Linked DNA regions of Callithrix jacchus. The main gene of each other region encodes a partner of the protein of the gene in region 3 in a complex. Links are inferred from orthologs where the notes say so. Each region holds a gene or a part of one and is shown on either strand. Other genes may lie near its edges.

The links.
Region 1: SNRNP40 (region 3) and EFTUD2 share a complex: the UniProt entries of both Homo sapiens proteins name them as parts of the minor spliceosome. The link is inferred for Callithrix jacchus from reciprocal best matches to the Homo sapiens genes SNRNP40 and EFTUD2.
Region 2: SNRNP40 (region 3) and RNF113A share a complex: the UniProt entries of both Homo sapiens proteins name them as parts of the pre-catalytic and catalytic spliceosome complex. The link is inferred for Callithrix jacchus from reciprocal best matches to the Homo sapiens genes SNRNP40 and RNF113A.
Region 4: SNRNP40 (region 3) and RBMX2 share a complex: the UniProt entries of both Homo sapiens proteins name them as parts of the minor spliceosome. The link is inferred for Callithrix jacchus from reciprocal best matches to the Homo sapiens genes SNRNP40 and RBMX2.
Region 5: SNRNP40 (region 3) and SCNM1 share a complex: the UniProt entries of both Homo sapiens proteins name them as parts of the minor spliceosome. The link is inferred for Callithrix jacchus from reciprocal best matches to the Homo sapiens genes SNRNP40 and SCNM1.
Region 6: SNRNP40 (region 3) and PRPF3 share a complex: the UniProt entries of both Homo sapiens proteins name them as parts of the U4/U6-U5 tri-snRNP complex. The link is inferred for Callithrix jacchus from reciprocal best matches to the Homo sapiens genes SNRNP40 and PRPF3.
Region 7: SNRNP40 (region 3) and SNRPF share a complex: the UniProt entries of both Homo sapiens proteins name them as parts of the U4/U6-U5 tri-snRNP complex. The link is inferred for Callithrix jacchus from reciprocal best matches to the Homo sapiens genes SNRNP40 and SNRPF.

What each region holds. Positions count from the first base shown.
Region 1 is NC_133506.1:85,275,255-85,278,754, forward strand, and holds part of EFTUD2 (116 kDa U5 small nuclear ribonucleoprotein component), read right to left. Parts: intron 308-3,500; coding exon 172-307; intron 1-171. UniProt on the Homo sapiens protein: Required for pre-mRNA splicing as component of the spliceosome, including pre-catalytic, catalytic and post-catalytic spliceosomal complexes. Component of the U5 snRNP and the U4/U6-U5 tri-snRNP complex, a building block of the spliceosome.
Region 2 is NC_133524.1:115,851,741-115,854,771, forward strand, and holds RNF113A (E3 ubiquitin-protein ligase RNF113A), read right to left. Parts: upstream 1,684-3,031; 5' UTR 1,583-1,683; coding exon 551-1,582; 3' UTR 501-550; downstream 1-500. Other genes in the region: NDUFA1 (NADH dehydrogenase [ubiquinone] 1 alpha subcomplex subunit 1), read left to right, coding at 1,881-1,982. UniProt on the Homo sapiens protein: Required for pre-mRNA splicing as component of the spliceosome. As a component of the minor spliceosome, involved in the splicing of U12-type introns in pre-mRNAs. E3 ubiquitin-protein ligase that catalyzes the transfer of ubiquitin onto target proteins.
Region 3 is NC_133508.1:67,927,181-67,930,680, reverse strand, and holds part of SNRNP40 (U5 small nuclear ribonucleoprotein 40 kDa protein), read left to right. Parts: intron 1-946; coding exon 947-1,076; intron 1,077-3,482; coding exon 3,483-3,500. UniProt on the Homo sapiens protein: Required for pre-mRNA splicing as component of the activated spliceosome. Component of the U5 small nuclear ribonucleoprotein (snRNP) complex and the U4/U6-U5 tri-snRNP complex, building blocks of the spliceosome.
Region 4 is NC_133524.1:126,043,655-126,047,635, reverse strand, and holds the start of RBMX2 (RNA-binding motif protein, X-linked 2), read right to left. Parts: upstream 2,801-3,981; coding exon 2,736-2,800; intron 2,525-2,735; coding exon 2,409-2,524; intron 1,000-2,408; coding exon 948-999; intron 1-947. UniProt on the Homo sapiens protein: Involved in pre-mRNA splicing as component of the activated spliceosome. As a component of the minor spliceosome, involved in the splicing of U12-type introns in pre-mRNAs.
Region 5 is NC_133519.1:11,063,243-11,065,805, forward strand, and holds the end of SCNM1 (sodium channel modifier 1), read left to right. Parts: intron 1-1,050; coding exon 1,051-1,245; intron 1,246-1,910; coding exon 1,911-2,010; 3' UTR 2,011-2,063; downstream 2,064-2,563. UniProt on the Homo sapiens protein: As a component of the minor spliceosome, involved in the splicing of U12-type introns in pre-mRNAs. Plays a role in the regulation of primary cilia length and Hedgehog signaling.
Region 6 is NC_133519.1:10,250,063-10,253,562, reverse strand, and holds part of PRPF3 (U4/U6 small nuclear ribonucleoprotein Prp3), read right to left. Parts: intron 2,353-3,500; 5' UTR 2,305-2,352; coding exon 2,160-2,304; intron 1,335-2,159; coding exon 1,204-1,334; intron 1-1,203. UniProt on the Homo sapiens protein: Plays a role in pre-mRNA splicing as component of the U4/U6-U5 tri-snRNP complex that is involved in spliceosome assembly, and as component of the precatalytic spliceosome (spliceosome B complex).
Region 7 is NC_133510.1:98,945,661-98,947,905, reverse strand, and holds the end of SNRPF (small nuclear ribonucleoprotein F), read right to left. Parts: intron 1,329-2,245; coding exon 1,264-1,328; intron 668-1,263; coding exon 601-667; 3' UTR 501-600; downstream 1-500. UniProt on the Homo sapiens protein: Plays a role in pre-mRNA splicing as a core component of the spliceosomal U1, U2, U4 and U5 small nuclear ribonucleoproteins (snRNPs), the building blocks of the spliceosome.

The DNA.
Region 1 (3,500 bases), on a different chromosome or scaffold from region 3:
ACTCCAGCCAGGGAGACAGAGCAAGACTCTGTCTCAAAACAAAACAAAACCAAAGAAAAAGAAAAGATCCTCATATCTCTGACCACCACTACAGGGTAAGAAAAAGTTGCTGTGATACCTGTGGCAGGGCACAAGGATGACAGAGTTAAGGGGCCATGAGCACATGATTACCTGTGAACTCGCCAAAGAACTTTTTGCAGACCAGCCTGAGCAGGGGGCGGATGTTCAGTTTCAGCTCCTCCTTTGTCAGGTGGATGCCAAGCTCGTCCAGGGTCCGCGGGAGGCTGGTGTCCACATCACCTACAACCTGTGAGGATACAAAACACCATGTCAGCTGTAGTGAGAGCCTGAGTGTGGTGTTAGAAGGAGACAAAGGAAGGCCAAAGGAATATCTGAAAAACTACTGCACAAGGCTCTCTTCTATGGAGAGAAAGCTCTTGGCAAGGACAAAAGTTTGGTTTCAGCGGCATCTCTGCTACCTACCCTTGAAACCATAGGCAAAGCCAATTTGGTTACATCCCCATCCCAGCCAATAAACCAAGCACTCAGACTGACTACACCAAGTGCTGCCCCCTGGTGTCTAAAAAGTAGCATCTCATCCCATTCAGGAACTCCCTCACTTACTAAATAGAAGTCTATCTGAGATTTCTCAGATTTGGAGGATCACTGTGCATTGGAAGGAACTAAAAAAGTCCTCTGGCTGTGGATCCTGTCAGGGCAGGGCCAAGCTAAATCATTCTCAGCAGACTCAAGGTCTCTACTGAGGCCGGCTCTATAAATTTTTTTTATTAATCCAATCCAGTCTGACATGTGATACCAAGTATTTTTCAGCACGAATAAATTTTAATCTCTTTATCTTGTTGCTAGGTTTTGCTGTTTTGTCCACTGTGCTTATTAAACACCTGTATATTTTATTACTGTCTTGGGAGAAAGGTCTGTATGAAAATTCCTGTAATTTTTACCCTTTTAGTCCTATATACTTTTAGGCAATACAAATTCATATAAATGTCATGTTATGTTCTTCTTTTTTGAGACAGGGTCTCACTCTGTCATTCAAGCTGTAGTGCAATGGTGTGATCATGACTCACTGCAACCCCCGCCTCCCAGACTCAAGTGATTCTCCTGCCTCAGCCCCTCAAGTAGCTGGGACTACAGGCACATACCACCACACCGGCTAATTCTATTTTGTGTGGAGATATAGGGTTTAGCCATGTTGTCCAGGCGGGTCTTGAACTCCTGATCTCAAGTGATCTGCCCACCGGGACCTCCCAAAGTGCTGGGACTGCAAGTGTGAGTGAGCCACCACATCTGGTCACGTTATATTCTTTGCCTCACAGCATTCTGCGTGCTTAACTAAATCCTTACCATTTCCTGACAAATTATTTCAATCTGACAAACATCACATATTGTACAAACACACGAACACAGTTTTTTTTTTTCCTGAGAAAGGTTTTCCCTCTGTCACTCAGGATGGAATGCAGTGGTGTGATCATGGATCACCGCAGCGTTGACCTCCAGGGTTCAAGCGATCGTTTGGCCTCAGCCTCCTGAGTAGCTGGGACCACAGGTACACACCACCACTCCCAACTCTTTTTTTTTTTTTTTTTGAGACGGAGTCTTGCTTGTTCACCCAGGCTGTAGTACAGGGGCACGATCTCAGCTCACTGTAGCCTCTGCCTCCCAAGTAGCTGGGATTCCAGGCATGAGCCACCACGCCTGGCTAATTTTTCTGTTTTCAGTAGGGATGGGGGTCTTGCCACACTGGCCAGATTGGTCTTGAACTCCTGACCTCAGATGATCCACCTGCTTCAGACTCCCAAAGTACTGGGACTACAGGCATGAGCCACTGAGCCTGGACTGATGTTTATTGTCAGTAGAGAGAAGTTCTCACTATGTTGCCCGGGTTGGTCTTGAGCTCCTGGGCTCAAGTGATCCTCCAGCCTCAGCCTCCCAAAGTGTCTGGATTACAGGCCTGAGCCACTGTGCCCAGTTCAAACATGCATTTAGTGGCTGCAAAGTACTTCATTTTATGGGATGTACCATCATTCATTTAATCAGATTAATGAGCATAATTAACTGACAAACATTTAACTTATTTCCAGTTTTCTTCTTTTCCTGCTCTTACAAACAATGCTATAAACTGGGGTGGTGGACTCCTGCCTGTAATCCCAGCTTTTTGGGAGGCAGAGGCAGGAGGATCACTTGAGGCCAGAAGTTTGAGACCAGCTTGGGCATCATGGTGAGACCTATCTCTACAAAAAATTTTTAAAAAGTTAGCCAGGCATGGTAGCTTGCACCTGCTGCCCTGGCTTCTCAGGAGGCTGGGGTGGGAGGATTGCTCAAACCTAGGAGTCTGAAGTGGCAGTGAGCTATGATAGTGCTATTGCACTCCAGCCTGGATGACAGAGCAGGATTCTATCTCTAAAAGACAAAAACAAACAACCAAAAATGCTGTAAAAAACACTTTGATTTATATAAATAACAAGGTCTTTCACAATTATAACTGTAAGTTAAATTCCCATAACTGAGGGCTGGGCATGGTGGCTCATGCCTGCAATCCCAGCACTTTGGGAGGCAGAGGTGGGCGGATCACCTGAGGTTGGGAGTTCAAGACCAGCCTAGCCAACATGGTGAAACCCCATCACTACTAAAAACACAAGAATTAGCTGGGTGTGGTGGCAGGTGCCAGTAATCCCAGCTACTCAGAAGGCTGAGGCAGGAGAATCACTTGAACCCAGGAGACAGAGGTTGCAGTGGGCCGAAATTGAGTCATTGCACTCCAGCCTAGGGGAGAAGAGGAAGACTTCGTCTTAAAAAAAAAAAAAACCCGTAACTGAAATGATTAATTCTAAGCGTCACATTGTTCTCAACAGTCAAGATCTGTTCACAAACCTGCTCTAGGAGAAGACTTTTCTTTTCTTTTTAGAGACAGAGTCTCACTCTGTTGCCAGGCTGGAGTGTGGAGTGCAGTAGCATGATCTTGGCTCACTGCAACCTCCACCTCCTTGGTTCAAGAGACTCTCCTGCCTCAGCCTCCCAAATAGCTGGGACTACAGGCACGCACAACCATACCCAGCTAATTTTTGTATTTTTAGTAGAGATGGGGTTTCACAATGTTGGCCAGGATGGTCTCAATCTCTTGACCTCATGAGGTGCTCGATTCGGCCTCCCAAAGTGCTGGGATTACAGGCATGAGTCACTGTGCCTGGCCTAGGAGAAGCCTTTTCTTTTATACCTTCTCCCTTTGATTTTTTTTTCCCTTTTTTTTGGAGATACAGGTCTTGCCCTGTTGCCCAGGCTGGAGTGCAGTGGTGCAATCTCAGCTCACTGCAACCTCCACCTCCCAGGTTCAAGCAATTCTCTTCCCTCAGCCTCCTGAATAGCTGGGACTACAGGCACCCGCCACCACACCCAGCTAACTTTCTGTATTTTAGTAGAGATGGGGTTTCACCATGTTGCCCAGGCTGGTCTCAAACTCCTGAGCTCAGGCAATTTGCCCA
Region 2 (3,031 bases), on a different chromosome or scaffold from region 3:
ACATTTCAAGTGGTCAACAGCCACATGAGGCTAGTGTCTGTCTATCACACTGGATAGCAGAGCACAGATCACTTTTATCATCCATAGAAGGGGGGTTAACTATTGCTGCTTCCAAGACAGCAAGGAACATTTTCCATACGTGAAGTCTGTGGTACTAGCTACCAATCGCCCAAACCCAACCCCTCTCCCTCACACCTTGGCTCTGATATATTTTGTAGTACAGGCTCCTAAGAGAAAGAATGCATGAAAGTACCTGGTAAACATTACGTGATACAGAAATGTGATATAATAAACAGGCTCAGAGTTCTTGCTTTCATCATAGCTTTGGCTACTTCGAGCAAATTCTAGCTCTTTTCTCAAACTACTCCCATCTCTATAATTTATGCCAAAGTGTTCTAGGGCTAAAAATCCCGATTATACCTACCTTGAAGCTTTTAATCCAGGACCCTACTTCACCACCCGCCTTCTGTCACTTTCTCTAAAAGGACACGAATTAAGACTTCCAAAAGAACAAAATATTTATTTTTTAAATTTAAGAATTATGGGAAGCCTAAGTAATGGGAATTGGATCCTCATCGGGGTCTTCTGGGAAGTTGGAAGCACCACCCTCTCCTGTAGCACGATGCTTCTCTAGTTTAGCAATCAATTCTTTCGCTGGATTGAAGACGCCGTAGGTCTGCTGGTCACAGACAAAGCAGCGCGGGGTGGTACGGAAATGCTGCAGTGCACATCTCTCGCAGAAATAATGCCTGCACTTGGTGACAACTGGGTTTTGGAAGCTCTGGCGACAGATGAAACATTTGAATGGTATTTCCTCATCATCGCTTCCCACTTCATAGTTTTCATCCTCATAGACACCATAGCGACCCTCATCAAGCTCACGTTCGATCTGCCACCCATGCTTGTAATCTGAACGGTCATGGAGGAATTTGCAGCTGTCTCCGAAGCCGCAGAAGCCAGTCTCTTTGTAGTCCTTACAGATGTCGGGCTGGTAATCCCAGCGCACGGTGGCACGTAGATGCTCGGGCGCTCGGATGGGGCCCTTCCTCACCATCCCGGAAGAGGCATTGCCCATAGACGTATCCTTGGGCTTCATGTATTTCTGATAATTGTTGATTCCCCGATAGATCTTGTCATCCTCCTTGCCCCTCAGCTCCTCCTGGATCTTCTGGCTGCGCTCAAAGATGGCTTGTGCATCGCGCTCTTTCTCTGTGTCCAGCTCATAGACGGCTGTTGCCCCCATATCCTCTGGTCCCACGGGTTTCGCCGAGCGGGTGGATTTATAAACCACGCCGAGACTCTCGGGCTCATTTTCCACCTCCTCCTCGCTGCTCAAGTTGCCGTAAGCCGCCTTCTGTCTACCACTGTCACGGGTCTTCTGTATCATTGGATTGTGGGTCGTCCGCTTCTTTTCCGGTCGAATCACAGTGCAGCCTTCGTCGCTACTGCTGCTGCTTTCTCCAGGCTCTGGGTCGCAGGCCGGGCGCTTTCTGCGTCCAGCAGCCCCTTTCCGCCCAGGCTTTTTGAAAAGGAAGGTGCACACCTGATCCGCCGTTTTTCCTGGAGAAAGCTGCTCGGCCATTTTAGAGTCCCGAGCTCCGAAACGGCCGTGGCTGCCTGGGTAGCACTTGGCCTCCGCGCGTCACTCCACGTTGCGCGCTCCGCCGCTAGTCAAAGCAAAAGACTGTGGCGGAAGAAGACTGCGAGAACGCGAACGCTAGCCTCTCTTGAGCCCTGGAGGATTCCGTCGCTTCCTCCGGAGCCGTACGTGGCACCGCCCCGCTCGCTGGCGGCCGCGGGGCTTACTGGGAAGAGAGCCGGAGATCCGTCACCTTTCAAGGACTCAGAAGTAGGGTTTTGGTCTAGGTAACCGGGCAGAGATGTGGTTCGAGATACTCCCCGGACTCGCCGCCATGGGCGTGTGCTTGCTTATTCCAGGACTGTCTACTGCGTACATCCACAAGTTCACTAACGGCGGCAAGGTAAGGGGGCTTGAGGGCGCGGGGGCCGACTCCACGGGCTGATTTCCGAAAAGGGTGGGGGGCAGGGAGGCATCAGCTTGCGGACCCTCTCTCCGAGGTCGGCCTTCTCCTTTCTTAGGGTTGCCTAGAAGCTGAGGCTTGCGAAACGAAGGTTGGTAGAAAACACATCCTGCTCTAGTGAAAACCAGCGTTTTAGGGTGGATCAGAGTGGGCCTTAGGGCAGAGTAGCGACTCGGGGCCCGGAAAGGTAGATTAGAAGAGGTGGCTTAAGTCTGTAATCCAGCACTTTGCGAGGCCGAGGCGGGCGGATTACCTGAAGTCGGGAGATCAAGACCAGCCTGACCAACATGGTGAAACCCCGTCTCTACTAAAAATACAAAATCAGCCGGGTGTGGTGGCGCATGCCTGTAATCCTAGTTATTTGGGAGGCTGAGGCAGGAGAATTGCTTGAACCCGGGAGGTGGAGGTGGAGGTGAGCCGAGATCGCACCATTGCACTCCAGCCTGGGCAACAGTCACGAAACTCGTTTCGAAAAAAAAAAACCAGAGGTTCTCCTGCCTCAGCCTCCCGAGTAGCTGGGACTACAGGCGGGTGCCACCACGCCCGGCTAATTTTTATTTTTGTTTGTATTTTTAGTAGAGACGGGGTTTCATCATGTTGGCGAGGCTGGTCTCGAACTCCTGACCTCAGGTGATCCACCCATCATGACCTCCCAAAGTGCTGGGATTACAGATGTGAGCTCCTGGCCACCCATAACTTTTTTATTCTCCACTTTTTGTTGCAAGCCTTTAATAATTTACTGCAAGATCTTATTTTATTTTTATTATTTTATCTTTTTGTAGAGATGGGGTTTCTCCATGTTGGTCAGGCTGGTCTTGAACTCCTGACATCAGGGGATCTGCCTGCCTTGGCCTCCCAAAGTGCTGGGATTACAGGCAGGAGCTACCGTGCCCGGCCAAGATCTAGTTTTTTACATTGGGATTCATTTTCCCTCTTCTAGCCCTTCACATTGTCTCTAGTATAGAGTATAAATTTATTTACTTTCTGGT
Region 3 (3,500 bases):
TCAAAACTACTTCACTCATGCTGGGGATCTCTGTGCTATGAAAAAATAAATAAAAATAGGCTGGGTACTGTGGCTCAAGCCTATAATCCCAGCACTTTGGGAAGCCAAGGCAGGCAATCACTGAGGCCAGGAGTTTGAGACCAGCTTGGCCAACTTGGTGAAACCCCATATCTACTAAAAATACAAAAATTAGCTGGACATGGTTGTGCACACCTGTAATCTGGGCTACTCTGGAGGCTGAGGCACCAGATCCCTTGAACCTGGAAAGCAGAGGTTGCAGCGAGCCGAGATCATGCCACTGCCCTCCTACCTGGGCGACTGAGTGAGAGACTGTCTCAAAAAACAAAACAAAATTAAAAATAAAACCATTTCACCCAGTACTCCGTACCGTGCAGGATTCTTGGGAAAGTTAGTTCCGTCCTTCATTAAATGAGCCAGGAGAAGTACAGTGGCTTATTCCTATAATCTCATTGCTTTGGGAGGTCAAGGAGCGGGGCCAGGAGTTTGAGACCAGCCTGGGCAACGTAGCAAGACCTCATATCCACAAAAACTGAAAAAATTAGCACAGCATGCTAGTGCGTGCCTGCAGTCCTGGCTACTCAGGAGGCTGAAACAGGAGGATCACTTGAGCCCAGGAGTTTGAAGCTGCAGTAAACCATGATCTCGCCACTGCAGTCCAGCCTAGGTGACGATGTGAGATCCTGTACCCCGAAAAAAATTGGTTATACAACAAGAGCCAAGAGAATGAACAAGAGAGTCATTATAAGAGACAGATACTGGAAAGTTTCCGAGAGTACCAAATTGGAGGCATTCATGTGAGAAGAGAGGCCATTCTCTAAATCAGATGAAATCCACTTAATCGTTTTTTTGCTCCACTCCCTACCCCTAATATTGTAACCTCCTTTGCCCATATGCAGTAGTTACCGTGTGCTTCTCTTTTGTTTAGGGACCTCCAAGGTGTTCCTCCCTTCAAGCCCCAATCATGCTGCTCTCTGGACACGAAGGGGAAGTATACTGCTGCAAGTTCCACCCCAACGGATCCACCTTAGCATCTGCAGGATTTGACCGACTGATATGTGAGGCATAGTTTTAAAATCTGGAATAATTTCTTCTGCCAGATAGTGATTTTTTTAAATTTTTGGGTACCACAGAAGGTGTCAGTCTATTAGCAGCATAACAGGCTGCATGACTAATATGCTAAAATTGGGTCATGAATATGCTGATCTTGGATGTAGAACTCGGGGTCCATGGGGCAAATACAGAAGGAGTTATTTTACTAGTTGGAAAGTGAATCGTTCTGGTTCGAGAATATCTTCCTTATAGAGGCAAATCTCCGGTTGATTTGCCAAGACACTTAGCAATCTAGACGTAACAGGTTAACGGGAGTAATGAGGAGATAAATACCTTTTCTTTTCCCAAAGGTATAAGGTCCTCTTAATTCACACCCAGAATCCTAGCTAGCATATAGGAAAGTAGGAATCCTAAAGTGGTAACTCCCTTAAATTATCTACCTGTGCATCATTAGGATCTGCTACTAGATTTCCATTTTTGAGAAATAGTAGAATTTGTCAATGCCCATTTTTGAGAAGTAGAAAAAGTTATTTCATTTATATTCCAGCAAATGAAGCCAGAATGAAAAAAGAATCATATACTTCTGTTAGCTACTCTTGCCAGATTATGAGATGAAATGAGTTCTTTGGCTGTTTTCTGTTAACCCTTTGCCTCAGGTGGATGATACCCATCTTCACTGCCCATTTTGATTTGGATATTCTGGCTCTGTGATCCTTAAGTTTACTTGTGGCCAAACGTCTGGATGGCTATAGGATCTTTGCAGAACATACATGAATTATTGATACTCTTTTTTTTTTTTTTTTTTGTAAAAACAAAAAAATTTTTTTCTTTGTTTAAAGATGGGGTTTCACCATGACAGCCAGGCTGGTCTTGAACTCCTGACCTCAGGTGATCCACCCACCTCAGCCCCCCAAAGTGGTAGGATTACAGGCGTGAGCCACCGCGCCAGGCCCGATATTCTTAATTTTGAAACTACATAGTTTTTTTGTTGTTGTTTGGTTGGTTGGTTTTTTGTTTTTTGTTTTTGTTTTGAGATGGAGTCTCACTCCGTCACCCAGGCTGGAGTGCAGTGATGCCATGTAATCTCTGCCTCCTGGGTTCAAGCGATTCTCGTGCCTCAGCCTCCCAAGTAGCTGGGATTACAGGTACCCACCACCACACCTGGCTAATTTTTATACTTTAGTATAGATGGGGTTTCACCATGTTGACCAGGCTGGTCTCCAGCTCCTGACCTCCAGTGATCCACCCACCTCAGTCTCCCAAAATGCTGGGATTACAGGCAGGAACCACCACGCCCAGCCCGAACTACATAGTTTTATCAGTGGAAAAATAGTGTCATCTGTAGGTACCACTTATGTCTGTGGGCGATCCTTAATAACACTTAGAACAAACTTGACGCTTTGCTAGACCAAGCTCCCTCAGGATAGCAGATGTGTCTGCTCATTTACCCTAGCACCTGACATGTAGGTACTTAGTACATATAGAATTAATAAATGTTATATAAAGTCACTACCATGTGAACTTTAATTATGGCCACCTTATGTTTTCCATTAAGTGCTGTCATTTGGCAGTCTGCTTTCAGACTCGGAGCTAACTTTAAAGGTTGGGTGCTGGCTGGGTGTGGTGGCTCATGCTGGTAATCCTAACACTTTGGGAGGTTGCTTGGGCAACATGGTGAAACCCTATCTCTACTAAATACAAAAAAAAAAATCAGCTGGATATGGTGGCAGCCCCTGTATCTCAGCTACACAGGAGGCTGAGGCATGAGAATTGCTTGAACCCAGGAGGCAGAGGTTGCAGTTAGTGGAGACCGTGTGACTGCACTCCAGCCTGGGCAACAAAGTGAAACTCTTGTCTCAAAAAAAAAAAAAAAAAAAAAGTTGGATGCTTTTTTAAAGTTACAGGAGAAAAAAAATAAGGTTTTAAAAAATTATATCTGTTAGGTTTTTTTTACCTTATAAAAATATTGCCATTATTTTTAGTGTCAAGAAAATTGGTCTACTGTTAAAACCAGTAGTGTTCCAAAGAGTATAATTTGAGATTTTTTTTTTTTTTTGAGGCAGAGTCTTACTCTGTCACCCAGACTAGAATGCAGTGGCAGTATCTCCAGCTCACTGCAACCTCTGCCTCCCAGGTTCAAGCAATTCTTCTGCCTCAGCCTCCCGAGTAGCTGGGATTACAGGTACCTGCTGCCATGCCTGGCTAATTTTTGTATTTTTAGTAGAGATGGGGTTTCGCTATGTCAGCCTGATCTCAAGCTCCTGACCTCAAGTGGTCCACCCATCTCGGCCTCACAGAGTGCTGGGATTACAGCCATGAGCCACTGCGCTGGGCCTGAGAACTGTTGTTCTGATAAATTCGTAAGTATCCTTTGCCTAGTAATGCTCATAAAACCCCTGTCTCCCTAACAGTGTTATGGAATGTCTATG
Region 4 (3,981 bases), on a different chromosome or scaffold from region 3:
TATGACTTGCTGCCCCCTAAGTGGCCCAACCACTTGGCCAGGACCCTCTGTCCATGGATGACCCTACCATCCTGCCATGGCAATCCCTCTGCCAGGGTATGCTACCTGTGTTTGCCTGGCCAGCCCCTTTTGCCATGGTCCTCTACCTGTACATGCCGTCCAACTTCTCTGTACTATGTTCCCAAGGCCCAAAAAACCCAAACATAGTGCTCCTCTGCACCTGTGAGCCACCAAGGTCCTCTGGTCCTGTGGACTAACTGTGCTGTTTAGCTCTGGGGTTGCATGCCAGCTGCCCAGCCCGTCTCCTACCAGCTGCTACTACCAGTATGAGCCGCCAACACCCTCTCCCACCAAGTGCTACTGCTCAGCAGAATGAAGAATATACAGGTCTCCTATTCATTCTTGCTCCTCATCAGCCTGTGATTCTCAGCCTCCAGGTAGAGACTGGCTTCGCTCACTAACCTTACACTCATTGAGAAACAAAGAAAGCAAACTACAACCTATACCTTCTATTTTTTACCCCACTTCTGTGTTTTGCCCCAATCCTATGATGCCACACAGGTTAGGGCCAGAAGGGCCCTGTGACCATCAGTTACCCCTAGTTTGCAAGAGCCAAGGAGGTGGACCAACACGGTACCTTCCTGAGGGTTCCAATCTGTTCTAGTCTAGGCCCAGGCTGAACAAGCCTCAGTCAAAGACAACAGAAATAGACCTGAATTCCCAAGATGGCCGCCTAAATTAACCAACTTTTTGGATTTCCCACAGGAGAACATTCTAGAACCATGTCCTGGGACTGATCCAGACTAAAGCAGAATCTCCAACCCTCCCCATGCAGGGATGCCATTCAGCCTAGAGTGAAAATAAGTGGTTTTTGTGATGCCACAAAATGCATTATAGAAACAAAGTACTCTGTCGACTCAGGAGGCAGGAAATGAACAGGGACTTACTGTGAGAACACACAGATGATGTCTCCTTCAGTCAGTTCATAAGGAAGCCCTCCTAGAAGAGAAAACCACATTTCAGTTCACCCAACATTTACCAAGAGTTTACTACGTACCATGCACTAGGCCAGGCACTAGGGGTGCAAACAGTAAGCAATAGGCCCTGTCCTTAAAGAAATCAAGTCTGGGCCGGCCACGGTGGCTCATGCCTGTAATCCCAGCACTTTGGGAGGCTGAGGTGGGCAGAGCACCTGAGGTCAGGAGTTCAAGACCAGCCTGGCCAACATGGCAAAACCCCGTCTCTACTAAAAATACAAAAAAAATTATCCAGGCAAGGTGGCAGGCACCTATAATCCCAGCTACTCAGAAGGCTGAAGCAGGAGACTCACTTGAACCCAGGAGAAAGAGGCTGTAGTGAGCCAAGATAGCATCATTGCACTCCAGCCTGGGCAACAAGAGTGAAACTCCAACTTAAAAAAAAAAATCAAGTCTGATGCAATGACAGAAGTACATGTAAGGTGCCAGTAGTACAGGAAAAGGAGTGATTAACTTTGAGTGGAAGTCAGAGTCACCACTAACTAAACTAATCTGATCACTCAGTCCTCCTGGCACCCCAAATACTATGGACAAAGCAGATAGTTTCCATCACAAACCTCTGCTTCCACAAACATGCTGAATTCATCTGCTCATTATCCACAAATTTACAGCTATGATACAAAATCAGTCTACATATGTCATGGTTAATCCCACCTAAATATAGACAAACGTTATAAAGACACTGTTAAGCATTTCCTAGGAAATAATTTCCCCTCCAAATGTTTCTTTCCTCATCTGTAAGATGAGGATATTAGCACATAACTCACAGGATTGTTATAAGAATTAAATAAAACGACGCATATAAAGTGCTTAGCACAATGTTTGGTACAATAACCTCTTTGAAACGTCAAACTGTACAATTACTGGTTGTGACACAAAGTGAATACAGGAGTGGTAATGTGGCCATGGACAGAAGACAGCAGCTAATTAGAGGAGAAAAGTGAATTCAGGAAGGGAAGGGGAATGAGAGAGGGTGGTGGTAGCAATGTGGGTGTGTAGCTAAGACCATGATTTCTAGAATACTATAGTTCTGCTTGTTGTGCTTACTAGCTATGTGACCTTAATGAATTCCCTTAACTTCTCTGCACCCCAATTTCCTCAGCTGTATAATGGGTCAGGGGTGAGAGAAATAACAACAGTCCCTGAGCCTTAGCACAGCAAATGGCAAACAGTAACTCTCATGATTTGGCAGGGAAAGAAAACTAAAAATAGGGGAGAAAAGAGATGGAACATGGATTCCCGGGCAGACAGCAGATGGATATAAAGGTGGGCGATGAATGTAGGCAGGAGTGAAGGGTCGGAACGCTGAAATCGTCGGAAACCGAGTAGGAGAATCTTGGGAGCACTGCGGGAGAAAGATGTGCACCTCACCCAGGAAGATCCAGGCGCTGTCCTTGTACTCGGAGTGCCAGGACACCTTATCGGCCACCCCAAGCTGGACCTCTCGTTCATTCAGCTCGTTGATCAGCTTCACCTTAGTTAAAGGGCTGCAAGGTGGGGGGATGTGGAGGGAGGAGGAAAGCAGACAAGTAAGTGCGACTGGGCAGGAGCTGAGAGAGAGCAAAACTAGGGGACGAACTGTTCTAGTCACAGAGCCTCTCCCGCCTCTGTACACCGCAGACTCTCTACCACCCCAGCCCCAGCGGACCACCCCCGGCGACTCGCTGCTCCTTCCTCAAAAGGAAGCTAACGCCTTACTTCATCTCCGCTAGCTCGCGCTCAGCATTCAGGTATCGGCGCCCGGATGAGGCAGCGCGGCGCATGCGCGACCCCGGCTCCGGTTGCCGGTTGAGTCGTTGACCTCGCGCCGGAAGAGCTAGGGCGTACCGAGGTCGTGGCGCCTGCGCACTAGCAGCCTTCCGTGCCCTGTGCGATTACTTCTGGAAGAGATGATTTTCTCTAGTTTTTCGATTTTTCTTTTCTGTGAAATGGAGTAAAGGAACGAGCCTGGGTTGTTGCAGGACCCCCAGCACTTGAACGGTGTCTAAAGCTGGTTAGATTAGCTATAAATATTTTCTGAGTGAACGGAACAAGCAGTCTGATGTGGCAACTTCAGTCTCAGCCCCCGCTCTCAGTCCAGAGTCCCACTTGGACCTTCGCTCCTGGTCAGTTGCTCACACACAGCCCCATCAAAGCGTCCCTGTCATGGCAGAAAAGTGAAGAAGATAAGCGAAAGGGTAAATCTTCTGTTGTTCTTATCCCAAAACACAGGCAACATACCAGTGTGCCTCTAGAGGCTGAAGTGAATGCCTACAGATTTGCACGAGAGCCACTGCACTCACTCTTTTCCATCGACTCTCCTAGTTGAGGAGGAGGCAGAAATTAATATTGTTAAATTAATAGCTAACAATTGAACAGATGACATACTATACGATGCAAGAGTATGTGCTAGGCAGTTTACATGTATTGTCTCTCCACCCTCACAACAACCCAATGAAGCAGATAAAATTACAATCCCCTGGTCAGGCACAGTAGCTCATGCCTGTAATCCCAGCACTTTGGGAGGCCAAAGCAGGAGTATTGCTTGAACTCAGGAGTTCAAAACCAGCCTGGGCCACATAGCAAGACCCTGTCTCGAAAATAAAGGGGAAAAAGGGGGGCCAGTCATGGTGGCTCATGCCTGTCAACTCAGCACTTTGGGAGGCTGGGGTGGGCGGATTACCTGAGGTCAGGAGTTCAAGACCAGCCCAGCCAACATGGTGAAACTCTGTCTCTATTAAAAATAGAAAAATTAGCCAAACATGGTGGCACATGCTTGTAATCCCAGATACTCAGGAGGCTGAGTCAGGAGAATGACTTAACCCTGAGAGGCAGTAGCCAAGATCACACCACTGCACTCCAGCCTGATGATAGAGCGAGACTCCATTCAAAAAGAAAAGAAAGAAAAAGAAATTTCTACCCTTATTTTGTAGAGGAAGAAATGAGGCTCAAAGGAATTAATTAA
Region 5 (2,563 bases), on a different chromosome or scaffold from region 3:
TCTTGGCTCACTGCAACCTCCATCACCTGGATTCAAGTGATTCTCCTGCCTCAGCCTCTGGAGTAGCTGGAATTACAGGTGCTTGCCACCATGCCCGGCTAATTTTCTGTATTTTTAGTAGAGATAAGGTTTCACCATCTTGACCAGGATGGTCTCAATCTCTTGACCTTGTGATCTGCCCACCTCAGCTTCCCAAAGTGCTGGGATTGCAGGCGTGCGCCACCGTGCCCAGCCGAATTTTGTGATTTTTAAATAAAGTTTGGGAAATGGCACTTTGTAATTCTACTTGAAGAATAGTAAGTTTTTTTTTTTTTTTTTTTGAGACGGAGTTTCACTCTTGTTACCCAGGGTGGAGTGCAATGGCGCGATCTCGGCTCACCGCAACCTCCGCTTCCTGGGTTCAGGCAATTCTCCTGCCTCAGCCTCCTGAGTAGCTGGGATTACAGGCACGCACCACCATGCCCAACTAATTTTTTGTATTTTTAGTAGAGATGGGGTTTCACCATGTTGACCAGGATGGTCTCGATCTCTTGACCTCGTGATCCACCCGCTTCGGCCTCCCAAAGTGCTGGGATTACAGGCTTGAGCCACCACACCCGGCCCAATAACAGTATATTTTAAGTATATTTTAAAAATGAGGTCAGGAGTTTGAGACCAGCCTGACCAAAATGGAGAAACCCCATCTCTATTAAAAATACAAAATTAGCTGGGCATGGTGGCACATAGCTGTAATCCCAGCAACTTGGGAGGCTGAGGCAGGAGAATTGCTTGAACCCAGGAGGCGGAGGTTGCGAAGAGCTGAGATTGCGCTGTTGTACTCCAGCCTGGGCAATAAGAGCAAAACTCTGTCTCAAAAAAAAAAAACCTAAAAATGTTTATGCTAGCCTTTCTCAAATTCATGATTCTAAAATCCTTTGTAGGCAGAACTTATTAATATCTTGAGAAATAGAGTCATACAGTTTAAGAAGCACAGTTTTAAGCGGTTGGGAGTCATAGGAGAGTTGGCCCTTTCAGCCTTACTGCTTTTACAGACTGTTCTTCTCTACCTAGACCAGAAGCCCCTGGTCCCTCTGTCTCCCTTTCCCCTATGCCACCCTCAGAGGTCGAACTCCAAAGTGGGAAGATCAGTAGGGAACCTGAGCCTGGGGCTGGCCCACAGGCCGAGGAGTCAGCAACTGTCTCAGCCCCTGCACCTGTGAGCCCCACAAGAAGACGAGCCCTGAACCATTATCTCACCCTTCGAAGGTGAGTGTGCCCAATCAGTTTCCTCAGATTTTCTTTTCTCTCTGACCGTCTATTTTTCAAAGGTATTCAATTTAATTTTTCTTATTTTTGGTCTTTTTTTTTTTTTGAGACGGAGTTTCGCTGTTGTTACCCAGACTGGAGTGCAATGGCACGATCTCGGCTCACTGCAACCTCCACCTCCTGGGTTCAGGCAATTCTCCTGCCTCAGCCTCCCGAGTAGCTGGGATTACAGGCGCGCACCACCATGCCCAGCTAATTTTTGTATTTTTAGTAGGGACGGGGTTTCACCATGTTGACCAGGATGGTCTCGATCTCTTGACCTCGTGATCCACCCGTCTCAGCCTCCCAAAGTGCTGGGATTATAGGCATGAGCCACCGCACCCGGCCTAGTCTTTTTTTTTTTTTTTACTTCTATTTTTGTTTTTTATCTTTGGTTCCATTTTGTTTTAGCCACCCAACTTACATGACTCTCAATTTTTTTCTCACCACTAACTATTTTGCTAGAGACAGGGTTTCACCATGTTGGTCAGGCTGGTCGAACTCCTGACCTCAGGTGAGCCACCCACCTCAGCCCCCCAAAGTGCTGGGATTACAGGTGTGAGCTCACCACTGACTTCTTAATGAGCCTCTTTCCTGATCAATGCCATTTTCTCTGATCTTTTCAGCTCTGGATGGATCCCAGATGGAAGAGGTCGATGGGTAAAAGATGAAAATGTTGAGTTTGACTCTGATGAGGAGGAACCACCTGATTACCCCTTGGACTGACAGCCTTTTCCCATTCATTCACAAATAAACTGCAGGGGGTGCTGAGAACTTAACTTTCCTGAAGTCTGGTTTCTTGTCGGATCTCAGGATTTCAGATCTGTTCATTCTCATTCTGGCTATTGCTTTCCTGCAATGTACACAGCTCTCCATACTTCTAACCCCTCCCCCATCTTCTACCAAAGCCATGCCAGGCGTCAGCTGCGTCAGCCCGGTGCCCTATTAATAAGACTGTCTAAAAGAGGTCTTTGCCCTTCATGTTGTCTGCCTCCTTCTCCACTACCATTTAAAGTCCTTTCCCCTTCAAATCACATGAAGACTGTGGGTAGGCACCGGGGGCACCTGGCCACATCTGGAAACAGGGCTGAGGCTAAGTACCCTGAGAATGTAGAAGAGTCTAAAGGCATTGGCAAGGTTATGGGGAACACCAAGGGAGGGAGCTCCCCCACCTCCTACTGGTAACCTGAACTTCCCTGCCTGATGATCCCCAGAGTATAAATAATCCCCTGGTGAATTGGCAGTAACCCTTGGGGGTTAGCGCCAAGATTCCCACCGA
Region 6 (3,500 bases), on a different chromosome or scaffold from region 3:
TGGGTGACAGAGCAAGACTTCATCTCAAAAAGAAAAAGAAAGTATGCCCTATTGTGACATAATCATCACTGTATATATCTGTGTATACTATGGATCAATCATTCCCCCTTAAATATAACAAAATTCAAATTAAGTCTGAAATTCTATAGCCAACCCTAAAATTTACATAAAACTGCTACTCAGATTTTATAATACGGGTCTATATACTATATTTTGTGGTATCTCTGCTCTATCAAATTACAGCTCCTGGGCTTAAGAGATCCTCTTGCCTCAGCTTCCCAAGTAGCTGGGATTACAGGCACATGCCACAGTGCCTGGCAAATTACAAATTATTTTAATGCAGGACTCTCTCTCCTTCTCTGATCACCCTACAATACTCTAAACACAAAAGGCACACATCTCTCTGGTTTTTCTTGTTCCATAGACTGCCCAGGGGACCAATCAGACATTGCTTATTCAAAAGCAATGGGATAGCCAAGGTATCAAAAGAACTTTGGAAGATTTCATAGGAGTCGCAGAATTTTTTTTAATAAAGAGAGATACTGGGAAATGAGTAGAAAGATAGGCTACTTGACACTGCTAATATTGAAAGAGGCCAGGATTAGTCAGCAAATATAGAATAAGAAGTGTAGTAGTTAAGGAGGCACTGACAACTCTTTCAAGTGTTTCACTCATGGCACCAGGTGACCAGCAATATGCCGTGTAGCAAATGGTAAGCTCTCAAGAATATAATAAATAATAGTTACTTTTTGGTATCCTATCTACAAGTGCATTGCAGAGAAACCTCTACAAAGAGACATCAGTGAGGTCTACAGCTCAGGTACCAGTGGAGTCACATTCTAAAACAACTTATAGGCCTCAAATCAAACATAAAATCTTAGAACAATTAGTTTATAGGTAGTAGTAAGAAGGGGAAAAAAAAAAAAGGAAATATGGAGAAAGATTAAAACCAAAACTCCTGTTATCTAAAAAAAGACAAAGCTACCAATTATTTCTTTGGATATTTCAACCCATGAACTTGGGTAGTTCATTATCATAATATGATGATGACACAATTCACCTCTTCTACTTTAACGTCTAAGTACCTCTCTTGAACATTTGGTGCTCTAAATCGTGGACATCAAAGTGTGAACTGGCAAGCTCAGCAACTCTGTTACCATTCAAAACAGTCCTGAGCTCATTAGATAGTAAATTGTAACCTACCTTTAGCTCTCGTTTTCTGCTCCTGTCACTGCTAGACTTGGAATGCCTAGAGCTTCGGCCTTCCTCCACAGCCTCAAACAGTTTGTCCACAAATCGCAGAGTAGAATCATCAAGAAAAGGTTTCAGATGATCTGACAGGAAAAAAGGCGGTGGTAGGATTGGAAAGATAAGAGTATATACACTAATACTAGGCCTAGAACAGGTACCAACACTGGAATTTCACTCCTAGGAGTGAAACAAATTTTAAGTTCTTTGCAGGATTCCCATCTCTCTTACAGTGAATGACCTTGCCCTTTGAGGTGAAAATACTTATAATTTTTTAGAGTGGGAAGTCAGTCAGAATAACCTATTTAGGTTGAACATCAAGTTTAAGATGAATAATCGCCAGGCGTGGTGGCTCACGCCTGTAATCCTAGCACCTTGGGAGGCTGAGGTGGGTGGATCACCTGAGGTCAGGAGTTCAAGACCAGCCTGTCCATCATGGTGAAACCCCATCTTAAAAAACATATAAAATATATATATTAAAAAAAAAAAAGAGATGAATAACCACCCTAACCTTTCCCAAATAGCAAGCTGTAGGAGACTACCATTAACAAAATCTGCCTCCTTCAAGCTTTTTCACGTATTTCATAAAGACTTTTATATGTTGAGATGTCAATCTGAATAACTGAACATGCCTATCTGACTTTAGCATACTTCCTAAGTAAATCTAACTTGGGTGACTCAGTATGGTAGCCAAAGGAAGATTTAAAATATATCACAAATAACATAAAAAATAAGCAATAAGAGAAAAAGCAAAATTATTATTTAGGCTACTTGCAGTAAAATACAAATGAAAATAAAATGTGGCCTGCCCTTTTTTTAGACGTTCCCAACAGAGAGAATTTTGGGGAAGTTCAAAGCAGTGTTTGGGATCACCCTGTAAGTTAAGACAAAAGCTGCAGAAAGGTACATACCAGCCGCCTTTTTCTTGTCCATGCCCTTCCCCACACAGTTCAATGCTGCTGTGACCACTGTAGGCTCTGAGAAACCCAGCACCCTCTTCACTGTCTTCTCTATCCATGGTTTCAGCTCATCCAGCTCCCTCTTAGACAATGCCATTTTTGAGGAAAAAGAGTACAATAGCTCAAACAGGACTCAATACTACACCTGAAAAAAAAAAGAGACAAGTTAGATAATAAGAAAAGACTACAGTAGGCCAGGTGTGGTGGCAATCCCAGCACTCTGGGAGGCCGAGGTGGGTCATTTAAGGTCAGGAGCTCGAGAACAGCCTGACCAACATGGTGAAACCTCGTATCCACTAAAAATAATAAAAATGAGGCCGAGTGTGGTGGCTCATGCCTGTAATACCAGCACACTGGGAGGTCAAGGCAGGTGGATCACAAGGTTAGGAGTTCAAGACCAGCCTGACCAATACTGTGAAACCATCTCTACTAAAAATACAAAAATTAGCTGGGCATAGTGGCATGTGCCTGTAATTGCAGCTACTCAGGAGGCTGAGGCAGGAGAAATGCTTAAACCCAGGAGGCAGAGGTTGTAGTGAGCCAAGATTACAACACTGCACTCCAGCCTGGGAGACAGAGTGAGAATCCGTCTCAAAAAAAAAAAAAAAGTAAAAATGAGTTGTGCGTGGTGATGAACCCCTGTAATCTCAGCTACTCAGGAGGCTAAGGCAGGGGAATTGCTTGAACCAGCGAGGTGGAGGTTGCAGTGAGTCGAGATCATGCCCTTGCACTCCAGCTTGGGCAACAAGAACGAAACTCCATCTCAAAAAAAAAAAAAATTAAAGTGGATCCAGGGAAATGTTAATATATGAGGAATGCATTCTCCACCTCTATTCTCAATCCTAGACAAGTTCTGCCAACTCATTTGAAGGCAAATATTTTCCCCAAGAACCATATCTCAAAACAGAAAGAGATTCTATTTTTTTTTTTTCTTTTTGAGACAGTTTCGCTCTGTCACCAGGCTAGAGTGCAGTGGGGCAATCCTGGCTCACTACAACCTCTGCCTCCCGGGTTCAAGTGATTCTTCTGCCTCAGCCTCCCAAGTAGCTGGGACTACAGGTGCATGCCACCACGCCATGCTAATTTTTGTGTTTTTAGTAGAGATGGGGTTTCACCATGTTGGTCAGGATGGTCTCAATCTCTTGATCTTGTAATCCACCTGCCTTGGCCTTCCAAAGTGCTGGAATTACAGGTGTGAGCCACCGTGCCCCGCCCCATTTGATTTTTAACTCTTTAACTCTTAAGTTGACCAATGAAAACTGTGGAATAAATAAACTCTGTGAATAAGCTAAG
Region 7 (2,245 bases), on a different chromosome or scaffold from region 3:
ACTTTTTTCTCCTTAGTAAACAAACCATATGCCTTCAGCCTAAATGTCGGTTCCCAATTTCCGTTGTGCCTTGTCTGCACAATCATTTTAATTTTTAGATGTTTCAATTTTAGCTACAATATGTGCATTTAGCTTATACTGACACAGAAGTAACATGTAATTTTACTAAGTAAAATAAGACAGTACATTAATACCAAAAACATGTTTAATTTTATACATGTTAAAAGTGGCTCAAAAATAACTTTAAAAGTTGCATTTAAAAGGTCTCAGCTAAGATATAATTTTACAAGAAAAGGTCTGAAATTCACCTTCATAAAAATATCTAAAGCATATAAATAACTATCCTTTATAGAAAAAAAAAAGAGTATCAAGCTTATAAAAAAAAGCAACTTAAATAAAATTCAGTGACTTTTAAAGCATTAGTTTTGTGAGTAATCTTTCCCAATTGGTTCAGCATTTGGGCTTTGCTGGTAAATATCTGAATACAAATAGTTCACAAGTCAAGAACAAACAAATCTTTATTGTCTAGAAATATATATATATAAAAAAAAATCCCAGGGGCTGGGGTCAGGAAAAAAAAAAAATCCCCCACAAAATATGCTATTCTCTCATTTCCCCATCTTCTTCCTCTTCTTCCACACCTCTGATATAAAGGACATTATTACACCTGTAAATAGAAAAAGTCCATTTTGTTGTTTCAACCAGAATCCATGTATGATCTGAATTACTATATTTTTTATTATGAAAATACTGAATGCTATATTTATAATATTCCTGTCTTTCAAAAAATATATATTTGTTTTTAAAAAACGTTTTACATAGATAAGTTGAAAAGCACATGGCACTGATTTTCAACCATATGGTTGTTATAAAATGATATCTTTATAATTTTCCAAGGGAAATAATTATCAGAATTTGGAGCTTTGAAGCTAGTACAAAAATTCTTACAAACAGCCAGACCCAACTAAAATTCAAAACTAAGTGCCTCCAATGAAGGCCACTGAAAAAGGTTATATAGCTAAGAGCCAGAAAATTTAACATCAACACTAGAAAAATCTTTTGGCCAGTTCTAAAGCATTTTAAAACTTATCTTTGACAAGTTTAGCAATTTCAAAGACTTCTGAAGTCCAATTGTAAAGTATTATAAGTTAATAGTGATTTTTTAAAAATAAGTAACTCCAAAATTGAGGCTCTAATATATTTAAAACAGGTATTCCTAATGCTCACCAGTAACTCCTTACATATACCACTGCTGTTTTTTACCTTATTAAAACTTCACCCAGATGTCCAGACAATGCTCCATCTATGTATTCTTCTGTATTTGCAAGCTTTCAATAAAAAGAAATATATTAGTATAATCACACAGGAGGAAAATATTACAATACAGCTAATACTGTGAGAGAACTTATTAACTGATACCTTTCTACACCAACAACTCAAATCTATCTATAATTAATAAACAGAAGATGAGCTTTCTATTACTACTGTAGGACTTTTGGTTTCATATAAACCTTCAGTAAAATTAACATTCATGGATGTAGAACAAATATATAATAAAGCTTGTTTCAACATAAGTTTCTGAATCTCCCAGGTTACGTAATATTTCAGATATCAAAACTGTGTGGAAGCAGTCTCTAATTTATGAATAAATTGTGATTAAAAAGTTTTCTGAAAATTCATTCTAAAGCACCAAATGTTGTTTTCTCAGAGTCAACATTATAAATCATACTGAGGTGTCCAAATGGGTTACAAAAGCTATGGCTAACATGCCAAATACTTTCATATTAGGCAACATCCAAAGCAGGTAATTAAGTAAGAATTTTCTTCTTTTCTTGCCTTTTAAGAAACAGGGTCTCACTCTGTTGCCCAGGCTGGAGTGCAGTAGCACAATCATAGCTGACCAAAACCTCGAACTCCTAGGCTCCTCCCACGTCAACCTCCTGAGTAGCTATGATAGAAAGCATGTGCCACCAAGCCTGGCTACTTCAAAACAATTTTGCTATATTGCCCAAGCTGGTCTTGAACTTCTGCCCTCAAGTGATCCTCCCGCCTTGGCCTCCCAAAGTACTGGGATTATAGGTATGAGCCACCACATCTGGCCAATGAATAATAATTTTTTTAAAATTTTGTACTAATAAACAGGGAAAAAGAAGTTCTTAATAGAAAGTTAAATAGTTAAGTTTCACATTTACAGTTATTTTGTTGAACTCTTATTATTTCTAATTTTATATCAAAATGTTTAGTT